2 linked regions of the Lonchura striata genome follow. The protein of the gene in region 1 purifies or fractionates together with the protein of each later gene. This does not show direct contact. Links are inferred from orthologs where the notes say so. Each region holds a gene or a part of one and is shown on either strand. Other genes may lie near its edges.

The links. Proteins that work in one complex are often made in the same cells at the same time.
Region 2: the proteins of MAP2K2 (region 1) and KSR1 purify together in Homo sapiens (affinity purification with mass spectrometry; 4 studies listed by BioGRID and IntAct, with this or other methods). This does not show direct contact. The link is inferred for Lonchura striata from reciprocal best matches to the Homo sapiens genes MAP2K2 and KSR1.

The regions. Positions count from the first base shown.
Region 1 is NC_134630.1:6,760,719-6,768,119, reverse strand, and holds the start of MAP2K2 (dual specificity mitogen-activated protein kinase kinase 2), read right to left. Parts: upstream 3,027-7,401; 5' UTR 2,996-3,026; coding exon 2,910-2,995; intron 1,828-2,909; coding exon 1,617-1,827; intron 335-1,616; coding exon 188-334; intron 1-187. Other genes in the region: CREB3L3 (cyclic AMP-responsive element-binding protein 3-like protein 3), read left to right, coding at 5,304-5,319, 6,133-6,257, 6,366-6,621, 7,015-7,130, 7,383-7,401. UniProt on the Homo sapiens protein: Catalyzes the concomitant phosphorylation of a threonine and a tyrosine residue in a Thr-Glu-Tyr sequence located in MAP kinases. Activates the ERK1 and ERK2 MAP kinases.
Region 2 is NC_134622.1:11,097,212-11,104,713, forward strand, and holds the start of KSR1 (kinase suppressor of Ras 1), read left to right. Parts: upstream 1-4,403; 5' UTR 4,404-4,418; coding exon 4,419-4,643; intron 4,644-7,502.

The sequences.
Region 1 (7,401 bases):
GGCCAAGCCCCAAACCTCTGCTTCCTCTTCCCAAAAGTCGCTGTCTCCCTCATTCCGAGGCCTGAGCAGGAATGTGTGGCTCCCACCAGGAGCAGAGTGGCCCGAGCAGGGAGCTGCCAGTGCCCCAGGGCACTGAGCTGGCAGGGAGAGGGCACGGGGAGGGTGCAGGGCAGGGGCAGGGCCTCACCATGTGCTCCATGCAGATGGAGATCTCCCCGTCGCTGTAGAAGGCTCCGTAAAACCCCACGATGTAGGGGGAGTTGCACTCGTGCAGCACCTGCAGCTCCCGGATGATCTGGTTCCTGATGGCTGGCTTGATTTCCAAATGGATCAGCTGCCAAGAGAGAGAAAACAGGAGAGGTGTGACTCCTGGGAAGGAAAAGAACTGATGGGCAGCAGCCCTGAGTGCTCGGAAGAAATGAGACCTTCAAGGGAGGCGCTGCTTTGGAGCAGGATTTTTCCCATTCTCCCATTTCCCATATTGAGGATAAAGTGCCAGGACACAGGGAATGGCTTCCCACTGCCAAAGGGCAGGGAGAGATGGGATATTTGGGATAAACCCTGTGAGGGTGGTGAGGCCCTGGGATGGAATTCCCAGAGAAGCTGTGGGTGCCTCTGGAAGTGCCTGAGCCAGGTTGGATGGATCCTGGGACAGTGGAAGGTGTCCCAGGCCATGGCACCGGGTGGGACTGGAGGTCTCTCCGAGCCCATCCAGTGGGGGATTCCAAGGATTCCACACTGAAGGCAGAGGGAGAGCTCTGTGCTGCCTCAGCCATGGAAGGCACCGGGATTGCACCGGACACGGGTGGAAAGACGAGTCAGGAGTTTGATCTCAGCCCCTCTGAGTCAGCAGCCAGGAGCATTTTCACAAGCTCTGGAGGTGTTGTAAGAAGGTGCTCCGAGATCAAGGAAACCACAGAAAAGAAAAAGCCCCTGTGAAGTTCTGCACAAGAACGAGCGGCGGCTTTTGGGGCCGCACGTGGGTCAGAGCAGAGTGGGGAGGGAAACACCCTGTGCTGGTGAAAGGAGGCCCTGCCCAGGGAACTGGGTGAGCTGTAAGGCCCCTTCCAACCCAAACCACTCCACGATTCCATGATCCCAGCAGCAGGAAGGAGGAGAGACTCTGGAGGAGGCAGAGCAGTGGTTGTGCTGCTCCTGCCAAGCACAGTCTCTCCCAGCAGGCAGTGAAGCAGCTCCTGATTTTCTACTCCGTGGCACCACTGTGGATGCTCCCAATGAAGGCAAGTCTGAGAGGAACCTCTGTCCCTGCTTGGAATGTCCTTGGGATGTGTTAAATGGGGCTGAGGGACGTGCGTGCTAAACCCATCCCACCTCCTCAGCCACGACCTACAATCCTCAGGAGATCCAATTCCAGTCACTCCATCCATCAGAAAAGGGAAAAAAATAAAACTCCTGTTTTCCAGAGCCCAGGGATCTGTCCCTGGGAGTGCAGCCTCTCCCAAAAGAGAGAGCTCCATCTGGGAGCAGCCAGGACTCTGCTCCTGGCCATGGTGAGGTGGTGAAGGTGCAAATGCAGAGAGAATCCAACCAAACCCAGCCCTCCCCGAGGCAGGGAGAGCTCCAGGTGCTCCCCAGCATTCCCAGTCCCTCGTTACCTTCCGTGCCATAATGAGCCCTGAGGGTTTGTGCTGCACTTTGGTGACCACCCCGCCATTGCCAGCGCCCAGCTCGGAGATCCTCTCGAAGTCATCGTCCTTCAGCTCCCCCACTTTGGCTTTTTGTGTCAGGAAAGCTTCCAGGCGCTTCTTCTGCTGCTCATCCAGCTCCAGCTCCTCCAGCTTCTTCTGCAGGTCCACCAGGTTAGCCCTGGAGAGGGGAGGAGGAGATGGGAGACGGTCAGCACCAGGGAAAGGAGGGCATAGGTGGAAAGTGGAGGGAAATGATGGAAAAGCATCCCCTGACATGTCCTGAGCCCCCAACAATGGGATCACCTGGACAGGGAGACCTGGAGAAGGCCCTGCCCAACACACACAGCCCCTCTGGAGAGGAGCTGGGGAGCAGTCAGGTGTTTTGGGAGAGCCAAGGAACAGGAAAAATCCCTCGGCCCTTAAAGAGGCAGCAGCAGTTGCTGCTCCCTGTCCCGGGGAGCCAAACTTGGCTTTGGCTGTGTAACACGAGAAGGGCCTTCCATGGGGTCCAGCAGCTCCGTTACACCCCCACCCCAAATGCTGAGCACAAAGGGGGGTCTGTGCTCCCCCAGCACCAGCTGCCGAGCCCCCGCCGCCTGTGCCAGCTCCAGCTGCTCTGTCCCAGTTGCTGCCACCCCCTTGTCCCTCCTCACCCACACCGGGACGTGTCGGGAGGGTCTCACCCCATCCCTTCCCTCAGCACCCCACCCACCCCCTCCAGCACCTCTCACCCCACATGTCCCACCTGCCGAGCCCCCACTGCTGCCCCTCAGACCCTGGGTCCCTACCCCAGCTCCACCCTGGGTCTCCAGGCCTGCTTCCCTGCGGTTCCAGGCCTGGATCCGGCACTCCCCAGGCTTGAGCTGCCCCTGCGAACCGGGGGGGCCGGAGCAGCCTCCCCCTGCCCGTCCCATCCCCACCCCAGCCCCTCCAAGCCCCAACCTCCTCCCCGGCAATGCCTCCCTGACCCTAACCTGCCCCACATCGGGCCCACCCAGCCCCCGGGCCCGTCCCAGCCCCCCGGGACCTTCCCTGCTCCCCCCTCAGACCTTCCCAGGCCTCCCCAAACCCGTCCCGACTCCTCCAGGCCTCCCCTGGCCTTCCCCGCGCCCCGTACCCGCCGTGCCCCGACCCCCCGGGCCCGGTGCCCGCTCTGTCCCGGCCTCCCCGGTCAGCCCAGGCCCGGTGTCCCCCCCCGGCCCCGCGTCCCCCCCAAGCGCAGCCCCGCCGCCGGGGCGGTCCCGGCCGGGCCTGACTCACTCAGCGGAGCCGTCGGGGCTGGGCCCCTCGGCGGCGCTGGGGGCGATGTTGAGGGCGGGCAGCACCGGCTTCCTCTTGGCCGGCATGGCCGGGCCGGGCCGCGCCTGCGGGGCGGGGGCGCGGCCGGCGCGGGGGCGCGCGGGGGCGGGGCCGGGGCGGGGCCCGCGCGGGCCAATCGGGGCGGGGCCGAGCCCGGGGGCGGGGCCGGGGCCCGCGCGGGCCAATCGGGGCGGGGCCGAGCCCGGGGGCGGGGCGGGGCCCGCGAGGGCCAATCGGGGCGGGGCCGAGCCCGGGGGCGGGGCGGGGCCCGCGCGGGCCAATCGGGGCGGGGCCGAGCCCGGGGGCGGGGCCGGGGCCCGCGCGGGCCAATCGGGGCGGGACCGAGCCCGGGGGCGGGGCCGGCGCGGGGCCGCGGTCGGGCCCGTGGAGGCGGGACCGGGGGCTCCGTGGGGCGGGACCGGAGCACCATCGGGCGGAACCCGGAGCTCCGTGGGCTCCGTGGGGCGGGACCGGGGGCTCCGTGGGGCGGGACCGGGGGCTCTGTGGGGCGGGACCGGAGCACCATCGGGCGGAACCCGGAGCTCCTTGGGCTCCGTGGGGCGGGACCGGGGGCTCCGTGGGGCGGGACGGGGAGTTCTGTGGGGCGGGACCGAGGGAGCTCTGTGGGGCGGGACCCGGAGCTCCGTGGGTTCCGTGGGGCGGAACCGGGAGCTCCGTGGGGTGGGACCAGGAACTCCATGGGGCGGGACCGGGGTCTGTCCGTGGGGCGGGACCGGCGGCTCCGGGAGGGCGGGGCCCCGCGGCGGCAAAAGGGGCGGGGCCTAAGAGCGCGGAGAAACGCGCGCGGCTTGGCGAAGTCTCGCGAGATCTCTCTGAGGGGAGCAGCGGCCGGCGGCCGTGGCGGAGGTTCCCGCCCGGGGGGCTCCGGCTGTGCGGACCGAACGTTAATTAAATCATCGCTAATTAGCGCCCCAGCAGCGGGCAGCAGCCCCTCAGCCCCGCCTGCTCTGCTCACCCCATCCATGCCCGATGCCAGGCGCAGGGACCCCCGAGGCTCCTCATGAGGGGCCGCGAGCAGCCGCGGCTGGCGGCAGCGGCGGCGCCCTTTGCCCGGTCCCGGACGGGTGGATGGGGCCATAAACAGGGAGCAGCCGCCGCCTGCTCGGGCAGAGGCCGTGGCGGGGCCGATAAGGGGCCGTGGCCTTGTCCCCTGGGCCGCACGGAGCCTTCGTCAGCGCCGTGCCCTCCGTGCGCCCGGGGCCGCCGGGGCGGCGGCAGCTGCGTGCTGCTGGTGTCCCTCAGTGCGAGGGGGATGAAGGCTCGGCACAGCGAGGCCGCCCCAGACAGCCGCGGAATCTGCGTGGGGATGGATTTTAAACACATCCCATTCCACCCCTGCCATGGCAGGGACATCTTCCACCGTCCCAGGCTGCTCCAAGCTGGCCTTGGGCACTGCCAGGGATCCAGGGGCAGCCACAGCTGCTCTGGGCACCCTGCGCCAGGGCCTGCCAGAGAACAGTTGCTGCCCAATATCCCATCTATCCCTGCCTCTGGCACTGGGAAGCCATTCCCTGTGTCCTGTCCCTTGTCCAAAGTCCTTCTCCAGTTCCCTTGGAGCAATCCCTTGGGCATTCCCAGTGCTGTTATCCCTATTCCCATGCCCTGGGTGCTGTTATCCCCCATTCCCAGTGCCGTTATCCTCCATTCCCACTGCCATGATCCCCCAATCCCAGTGCTGTTATTCCCAACCCCAGTGCTGTTATTCCCATTCCCAGTGCCGTTATCCCTGTTCCCGTTCCCCCTCAGGTCCTCCTTGTGCCCTCCCTATTATCCCCATTTCCATTCCCAATATCCCATCCATCCCTGCCCTCTGTCCATGGGAAGGCATTCCCTGTGTCCTGTCCCTCCATCCCTTGTCAATGGTCTTTCTCCAGGGAGAGCCAGAGGGCACCAAGTTTTTTTTTGATAAGCCATAAGAGGTAGAGCCCAAGCAAACATCCCCGGATATTGCACACATCGAATGTGATTAATCCCCAGACGTCTGAAAAAAGGGAAACTGTCCCCAAAAGTGGGTGAAGGTTCATGGACAATTATAGCACCTGGACTTCGCCCGGCAGCCCCGGCCCCTCCTGCCCCGCTTGGCAGAGGAGCACAACAACATTTGGCTAATGAGTTACGGGTCCAGCCCCGGGGTGGCCCTGCCATCTCACTCTGACAGCCCCAATCAGGGCTGGGACATTTTGCAATCTGGGATATTATTTCTGTGCAGTTGGAGTTTAAACTTTGCCATTCGGGCCAGGGAATCACAAAGGAGGAGGAAGAGGAGGAGGGTGAAGGCCGGGCTTGTTGTCTACCGTGCTCCCCTGTGCTCAGAGAGGGTTGAGAGGACAATCTATGGCATCTCCCTCAGGTATGTCCCGGCTGTCACCACTCAACAAGACCCCATGGGGCCATCAGGATTCTCTGAGAGGACTCAGAGTGAAGGACAGGGTGCAATAAAGCCCCGTGTCCACCTTGGCCAGACAAATGTCAAGCAGTGACAGCTGTCCCCAGCTGGTTTGGAGGACACTTGAGTCAGTTGGGTGGCTGGTGGGTTGGTTGGTTGGTCAAGCAGGCAGAGTTGACTGGTCAATGCATTGGTCAGTGGGCTGGTCATTTGGGCAGTCCATCCATTGGTCACTTGGCCAACAGGTTGACCATTCGGTCTGTCTCTTGATCAGTTCATTGACTGACTGGTCAACCGGTTGGTCAGTGGATCAGCTGGTTGGGTAGCTGGGATGTCAGTTGGCTGATTGGCCAGTTGGGCTAGTGGTCAGCTGGCCCAGTGGCTCTGAGCCCAGGGTCTAGCAGTGAGGGACTGAGTCCCCTCCCTGGGGTGACTGGTGGCCACAGTCCCCTGCCCTCCACTTGCCACCCAGAATGATTAACCAGCCCTTCCAGCACGGTCACCTCCAGGAGGGAACCCCCTGGCTGGGCAGCTCTGGGTGGAAAACTGGAGGATTTGGGAACTTCAGCTGCTGGAAGGAGCGGGGGGCACTGCCATGCCTGGAGTCCCCACATCCTGTCCACCTGTAGGGCTTTTCCAGGTGAATCCCAACATGCCCCTGCCTCCTCCCAGCTGCCCCACGACTCGAGGTGTCCCTGGGGCCCTGCAGCTCACATGGGGGTGGCTCTGGGGGGTACCACGGGGCCTGGGCTGGACAATGACCCTGCCACCCCACAGCCATGGCCTCCAGCGCGGGCAGCCTCGAGAGCCTGGACCTGCTGGATCTCCTCTTCGACCTCCAGGACGGGATCCTGCGTGAGGTGGAGCTGGGCTCGCCGCCGGGAGCCTGGCCCCAGGACAGGGTGAGCCAGGCCCGGACCCCGCCCCGCCTCGGCCCTGCTGGGTGACAGCCCTGGGATGTCACAGCCCGGGGGATGGGTGCTCCCGGTGACGGTGCCGTGTCCCCACAGCGTGCCCCGGACAGCAAGGACTTCCTGAGCTCCGTCCTGGGCTCCGGGGACTCGGTGTCGGACTCGCCCAGCTGGTCCCCGGCCACCAGTGACAGCGGGGTGTCCGAGGACCCCCCCTCTGACCAGCATGACAGCCCCCCCCGGAGCTGTGATGGGGGTCCCCAAGAGGTCCTGTACCCCTACACCGACCCCTGCCAGGCCCAGCCCCTCCCGGCGGGGTCTGGGGTCCTGCAGCCTGAGGTCTCCATCGACCTGGGTGAGCCACACTGGGAAAGGACCGGGCTGGGGGCACTGGAGGGACTGGGGACACTGGGGAGCTGAGAGCAGTGGGGGAGGTGGGGGACTGTGAGGAAATTAAGGAGGCTGGGGGAAACTGGAAAGAACTGGGAGGTCTGGTGGGCTAGGGAGGAGATGGGGAGAGTGTGGAGAGCTTGGGAACTGGGGTGAACTGGGCAGGTGAACCAGTTGGTGTTGGGGGGGGACTAGGGCAGGACCAGAGGGACAGTTTGGGGAGACAGAGTCAGGGGCATGGGTTGGGCAGCAAGTCACCCTGGTTCTGGAGCCATGGCAGGAGGAGGGTCCTGCAGTGGGGACACTGGGGACAGTGGGGACACAGCACTGTTGACAGCTCTGCTCTGCCCTCACCCAGACATGTGGCACCCCGGGTTCTTCCTGGAGGAGAGCCAGGACCCGCCTGTGGTCCCCCCACCTGCATCCTGTGCCCTCACTGTCAAGGACCTGCTGCTCTCTGGCAGCTCTGACAATGTGAGTCCCTGTCTCTGTGTCCCCAACACTCCCTGTCCCCAGCCCTGTCCCTCCCTGGACCCTGATCATCCCCCATTCCCATCCCCATCCCTCCCCATCCCCACACTTGTTCCCTTCCCCTTCCTGGTCCTTGTCTACAATCCCTGTCCCTTCCCGGCCCAAGGCACCTTCACCGTGGTCCCAGCCAGGGTCCCTGGGGCCAGGTGGGAGCTGACCCCCACCCAAAGGTGTCACCATTCCATGTTCCTGCAGCAGCCACAGGCTCCTGGCT
Region 2 (7,502 bases), on another chromosome or scaffold:
GTATTTATATTACAGCAGCACTCAGAGGCTTCTCACCGAGATACAGGCGTTGCTGTGCGAGCAGAGAGTAAAAGACTCTTCCTGCCCCAAACAGTTTATTTTACTGGTGATAAATAACAGACAAAAAGGCAGCACTATTGCAACACAGCTAATGCTAAAGAAAGACTGCAAAACCCATGAGATTACTCTAAAAATAAATGTTGGGGGTTTTATTTGTTTTATAGACAACTAAAATTCTTATGTTCTTAAAGCTAGAAAGTTTTGGGTTGCTGTAACAGCTGCAATGCTTGTTTACTCACATGACTCCAGAATGTAAGGTGAACACATCAGTCCAGGCCTCCTCCTCGCAGTCCCATCTCAAAGTTTCTTTCTGTTGAAGGGGAAGTGAGCAGGGGGTTGGTGGTGCTTAGTTGCCAGCTGGGGTTAAACCATGACACCTGTACACAGAAAACACTGAGTGAAGCTACATAGCAGTTTCTTGTGCCTTCCACTTGTGGGGCAGAAATTCCCTCAAGATTGCCCAAACTCAAATGTTTTCCCCACCCACGAAAATTATTTTTAAGAAAAGGAGCAGTGTTTAATTTTCACATATTTTCCTCCATTGTTGTCAGCACACAGTTCAGTTTCCTTTATCTATCCCTAACTCACTGGGATCCACCACTGCCAAATCTGTGGATTTGCTGGTCCATCCCTTGCATTTAGTCAAACGCCATTTGACACAGACAGCTGAGCAGGAAAAAATCCATGGAAGAAGTGGACTTAGACAAAAATATTTTTTAAAGGTGAAGGTCATGTCTTATACTTGTGTGAACTGGTCTGGCTCAGTTGCAAGCAGTGGAGATATCTAAACTAGGGAATGGTGAGGATTTGTTCCGGGAACACCATCTCACCATCCTCACTTTCTCTGTATATCCTAACAAGAATATCCAGCAGCATGTCTAAAAATAGGACTTAAGTTTCTCAGCTTCCCAGCAGAGAAGCATGCCAGAGCTACTGTGTATTCCTGTGCTGTGCCGGGGAGAGGAATACTCCTATGGCTGTGTAGGAGGAAGCCTTTGAGGGGAAAATCATCAACGATAAAGGCCTCTTTCATCTGAAATACCTAACATTTCAGCTCTTCAAATCCCAACACTACATTTTCTTAAAACAGGTCTCTATTATGTGTTAAACACATCAAATAGAGCAATTCAGTCTCATCATCTAAATTCAGTGTTGTGATAGCTGAATGAAATTGGGGCAAGCTAGCTAAAAAGGTAATAGAGGCTTTTCATACAGGCAGCATGTGAAATGCATCAGTGCTTTTCTTTCTCCAAGAACATAAAAAAAGGTATTTTTCCTCAGTGAGCTTATTTTACTGAGTCCGAGACCATTGCTGTGGTCCAGGACTTCCAGGGGTGCTTAGCAAGGTTTGGGCTTTATTCATGTAGCTAGAACCTGATCTGTGTAGGCAAGAGAGATGGGGGCAGTGGGGAAGAGAAATCCTCTCCATCCTTAGGTCAGTGGCTTAACCAAGGACACAGCAGTTTTCTCTGATCCAGTTCAGGCATTCCACATTTTATTGTTTTCAGAACGATTGGTTTTTGACACAGTGGCAAAAAAAGGCCACTATACAATGAAGTTGACAATGTGGGTACGGTTCACTCAATTAAAAAAAAAAACAAACAAACAATTGTTTTACTCTAGAGAATGCAGTTCTTATGTCCACCCTACATAAACTGTACATTAAAAGAAAAATCCTAACAGGTGCATCAATTAATGTATAAAGTACAACATATGTCACTTCCTGAAATCTCTGGGAAAAGAGGTCATTCAGTGTGCTCACATGGTCCTTCTAGCATGGCCCAGCCATGGTATTTCTCTTTTCAAACTCTGATAAGCAGTGTTTTTACCCCAACTCCTTATAGACAGAATGCTGTGGTTTCAGACAACTTAAACTTCCAGGACTGCAGACAAAGCTTGTGGTGGAAGAGCAGCCTGAGCTCTGGGAAGGCGCCAGCCCCACAGCCTTGGAGGCAGCAGCAGGGATGATGAGCAGGGATGGACGCCCAGGCAGTGTTTAGTCAGCACATTTTTCCCGCAGGCCCAAGGGCAGCCCTGTGTGCTGGGGCTGGAATGCTGCCCACGGACGGCAGCCGGGTAATGAGGGCGGCACTCCCAGCGCACAAACACTGCAGGGAATGCCAAGTATCCTGTGATGCAGGCCCACAGGTTTCCTATGCTTTCTCATTCCCATTGCTTTCTCATGCAACGCGCTCGGCCTCTTGTCTATAAGCAAATGGATATTCTCAGGTGGGTACATGGAGAATGTCTACAAGAACAATGTCCTGTTAATAATGTTCCCTAGTTCCACAGTCACCTGTACTTGAGGATTTAAATCCCTCAGAGTCCTAGAAACTAAAATTTCCAGTGCTAAACTTCCAGTGCTCCTGAGCGCAGACAGGGTAGATAAAGGCTTTTTCACAAGGTCAGAAATATGGAGGTAATAAGCAAAGTTACTTTCCCAAAACCACAGGACTCATCAGATGGCAAACTAATTAAACCCTAATCCAGCAAAGCCCTTATTGCGTATGAAATTTACAGCATGTGAATAATGACAATAAAATCAAATACTTAACCTGACCCACATTCTTAAGAAAATTACTAAACAGCATATGCCACACTACTTGATGCAAATCTATACAAACTGATGTGGATACCAGTATTTATCTAACTATGAAAAAAACAGTTTAGCTGCTTTGGCCTGCTCCACTGCTTCATGTCCTAAATTCATAGTTTCTTCTTTTTTTTCCCCCCCAAGAATCTCCCTTCTGTATTGCCACATGTGGCTCAGATGTCATTTAAGCTTTTAAAACCTGGTATCAATTTAGTGCAAATTAAGGAGACTGTCTTCTTCTGTTAGTAAGGTACAACCTAACTGCCTCTCTGGATCCCTCATGTCAGATGAACAGTCCCAATTCTAATAATCGGGAGATGAGTGGTTCCTGCACTGACAGCTCAGCTCTGTGCGAGTCCATCAGACAGGCTGGATATGAAACCAAATGTAATGCAGTTACCTGGACATTTTCCTCACGTTTCCATTGTGGAAACTCAAACCACAGCGATTCCACAAGGCAATAATGAAGTTCCCTCCTACTCACGATAGGGATGAACCCACACACCTATCGTACTCAAAGCTTATATTCACTAAAATACGTTTATCCTAACGCCTGCTCACACCTCCCCTGGGCTGGGAAGGCCACCCCTGCCCCGGCCCAGCTTCCTCCAGGGTCTCGGAGGGAGCCGACCGCGGGCTCCTCAGAGCGAGCTGCGAGCCCTGACAAACCCGAGGGGCTGAGGCGGGCGCGCAGACGGGACAGGGAGACAGCGAAGAGGGAAATGAGGGAAATGAGGGCTGAGGCGGGCACTGAGGGCTGAGGGACACGCTGAGGGCTGAGGCGGGCACTGAGGGCTGAGGGACGCGCTGAGGGGTGAGGAGGGCGCTGAGGGGTGAGGCGGGCACTGAGGGCTGAGGGACACACTGAGGGGTGAGGAGGGCGCTGAGGGGTGAGGCGGGCACTGAGGGCTGAGGGACACGCTGAGGGGTGAGGAGGGCACTGAGGGGTGAGGCGGGCACTGAGGGCTGAGGCGGGCACTGAGGGGTGAGGGACACGCTGAAGGGTGAGGCGGGCACTGAGTGGTGAGGAGGGCAATGAGGGCTGAGGCGGGCACTGAGGGGTGAGGGACACGCTGAAGGGTGAGGTGGGCACTGGGGGGTGAGGAGGGCAATGAGGGCTGAGGCGGGCACTGAGGGCTGAGGGACACGCTGAGGGGTGAGGAGGGCACTGAGGGGTGAGGCGGGCACTGAGGGCTGAGGCGGGCACTGAGGGCTGAGGGACACGCTGAGGGGTGAGGAGGGCACTGAGGGGTGAGGAGGGCGCTGAGGGGTGAGGAGGGCACTGAGGGCTGAGGCGGGCACTGAGGGCTGAGGGACACGCTGAGGGGTGAGGTGGGCGCTGAGGGGTGAGGCGGGCGCTGAGGGGTGAGGCGGGCACTGAGGGCTGAGGGACACGCTGAGGGGTGAGGTGGGCGCTGAGGGGTGAGGCGGGCGCTGAGGGGTGAGGCGGGCACTGAGGGCTGAGGGACACGCTGAGGGGTGAGGCGGGCGCTGAGGGGTGAGGAGGGCGCTGAAGGATGAGGGACGCGCTGAGGGGAGCGCCCCGGGGCGGCGGCGGGCGCGGAGGGCGGTGGCGGGGGCGGAGCGGGCGCGCTTGCGGAGCCCGGCGGCCGCGCATGTACCGCGCGGTGATTGCCCGGCGAGAGCAGAGGGGCGGGCCGAGCCGGGCCGGGTCGCCTCCCGCCCGCCTCCCTCCCTCCTTTCCTCCCTCCCTCCGCCGCTCCCCCGCCGCCGCCTCGCCTCCCGGCCTCCCTGATGCCGAGGGATGGATAGAGCGGCTGCCCTGCGAGCCGCCGGCATGCTGGAGAGGAAGGAGCGGAGCGGCGGCGAGGCGGCGGGGCCGCGGGGCTTGCCGGCCGTGCGGAGCACGCTGCAGCAGTGCGGGCTGCTACAGGACCTCATCGACATCTCGCTCTCCAACCTGCGCGGGCTCCGCACTAAGTGTGCCGCGTCCAACGACCTCACGCAGCAGGAGATCCGCACGCTGGAGGTACGGCGCGGGCTGGCAGCCGCGGGCGCCGCAGCTGCCGCCTCTGCCCCGCTCGGCCGTGGCCTGCCGCTGCCTGGCGCCCTGTCCTCTCGGCCCCGGGGCCGCGCCGCGCCTTCTCCCGCGGGCCGAGCGCTGGTGGCGGGGACAGCGGCGCCCTGGCTCCGCCGCGGAGCTGTCAGCGGGCCGGGCGCTCCCCGCTGCACAGGGACACGGGAGCCCGACAGCCCGGGGGCTGCCCCGCACCTATCCGCGCCCTGTCGGCACCGCGCTCCGCTCCGCGGCTTCCTCCGCGGCTTCCTCCGCGGCTTCCCCGGGCGGTGCCGCCGGAGCGCGGACAGGTGCGGGGCAGCCCCTCCGGTGCCCCGGGCTGTCGGGCGGGTGCGCGGGAGCTCCGTGAGGCACCGTTCGGCCGCGCCCCGGGGCCTTGCCGGGCTCCCGTGTCCCTGTGCAGCGGGATGCGCAGTGTGAGGCGCGGAGCAAAGGTGACTCGAGGCTCGCTGGCAGGAGGTGTGTCCCCACACCGCTGTCCTGGCGTGCTGGGAAAACTCCCCTTTGCCTCCTCAGGTCCTTGCTGTTTGCTCCTGATACTTCCTGCCCTCCGCTCTGGGCCTGTCTCTCTATCCCTGGCTCAGTTTCACTGATCTAATCTGATCCTGCTTCTCCCTCTGTTGCTGTAGCTCAAACAGCATCATGGACCGGGCTGGAGAGATATTCTGCTGTTTAGAAAGATTATATGAAATTCTTCAAACACAAAACATGCGCTGCTGTGATGCTCTCAAAGAACAGCTGGATCTGTATGAAGAGCTACATAAGTACATAGGAAAGGAAAGTAGATGTATTTTTCCTTAGTTAATTTGACCTTTAGAAACTAAAATAACGTTTCCTTTTACCTTCTGTGTAGGTAGTTTTGCCCTAAGCAAGCAATCCCCTCCTGTCCTCTTCTTTGATTTAAGTTTGATGTAAATGCTAGTGCTCCTCTACGTGGTACTGGAGACAGTGGAGCTGGATAGAGCGTTAGGCTTTTTAGGAAGAAAGGATCATCAACAACACTGTAACTGTAATAAACCTACATGCTGAAAAATACATCACATGAGAAATGCAGGTTGGGAAGAAAACCATGAAACAATAGGTGGTAGGTAGCTTTTGGCACAGCCTCCTGGAAATCTATAATTCTTCCTTTATTCTTCGTCTGACTTTTTTGTGGTTTTGGTTGGTTGGTTAGTTTGTTTTGTGGGGTGTTTTGTTTTAGTTGGTTCTTTTTTGCCCCCCAAATTTATAGTGCTGTTCTTCTTCCTGTCACCTCCAAATAGTATCCAAAAGACTATTCTCTGTGACACAATATTTGTATAACCTTTTGGCAGCCCTACTTGAGGACCTTTTCGATGCCCAAACAATGTCAATCAGCATAATTTCAGAAAATTATCATCACTATTTTGCTTGTGGACCTGTTCTAAAAGAAAACCTTTATTCACAAAGTGTAAAGGCATTTTATGACCTTGAGGCTCTTCTTAAAGCAACGATAGCTGTTGAGTGTGTGCACACAATCCTCTTCAGCATTTATCTGTTTAAACAAGTGGGTGCCACATTCACCGATGATCATAAGATTTATGTTCAGAAGAAAGTCTTTTTGATGTACAGTCCAGTATGTGATTTCTCCGGGAGTTCAACCAAGTTCTGGATCTCTGCCCGCACATGGAGCTGTGGGCATGGGTACAGACTCCATGTTCTTTGCGCTGTTGGGTTGCCTGTACCAAAACACATGTCAGGCATGGCCCGAGTCTTGTGCTTGACTGTGCCAGGCTGCAGTCACAGAGCCAGACTGCAGGAGCTCAGGGCCTGTGTTTGCTTCCCCAAGCTGTCATTGCTTGTGGTGCCCCTGGAGGAGGTGGGCCCAGAGCTGTCTCAGGTACCAGGTGCAGTTCCTGTGCCCTGATTCCTGTGCCAGCAGTGCCACTGTGGCTGTGTGCCTCTGCCTGTGGGGTCGTGCCAACACAGCAATGAGCTCTGGTCCTGCACGGAGCTGGGTACTGGTGGGTGGACTCCGCAGGCAGCTCGCGAAGAGTCCAGAGTGCAGCTGGGAGCTCAGAGATCTCCAGGGCCTGCTGTGCTTCCCTGGTGGCCTCTGTGAGTCACCAAATGGCTCTGCGGGTCATGATTAGTGGCTACTGGCAGTGTAGTGCTGTGAGCACTGTACTGCACTGTACTATATCTGTACTATACGTCAGTCCTGGACTGGGAGCTCATGTAGGCTGGGGCTGAATTCTCACAAGGCTTTTCTTCCGTGCAAAGACTTCAGATGACAAAGAACTGTGAAAACTTAGTCCCATTAATAAAACTGATAAACTGTGTAGTGACATGTAGTTGCCAGGTCAAGAACACCGACCTAACCAAGGGCACTTGGGCTCATGCTTAGCTCCCTCCCCATTTACCGCAATGCTTTAATTCCTTCCTCATTCCTCTTGCTTGTAAGGTGTTCTCAAAATAAAGCACATGGTAGATAAGGATTTCAAACTGGACCTTGGCAGGTACAGATAAGCACTCAGGGAAAACTGAGATACAGGAAGGAGAGGAAAGAAAGGGCTGTGGGAATTGCTTGCAAAGGATGTGTTGAGCATAATGTATTATATGAGCTGACCCTGTTTCAGGGTAGGCAGGCCATTTCTTAGAAGGGCAGGGAGTTTCCCTGTAGTGGAAAGTAGGTTCTGTTAGTTTGGTTATTAGCAGACTGGGTTCTTTGATGCCACAAGGTCTGGTTTGGGTTTTTAAAGTTTTATATGTTCTGCCCAATAAATGCTTGAGTGTTTTTCTTTTTATCCAGTGCTGGTCTTTGCTTTCAGTTTTGTCCTAGCATGTTTACTC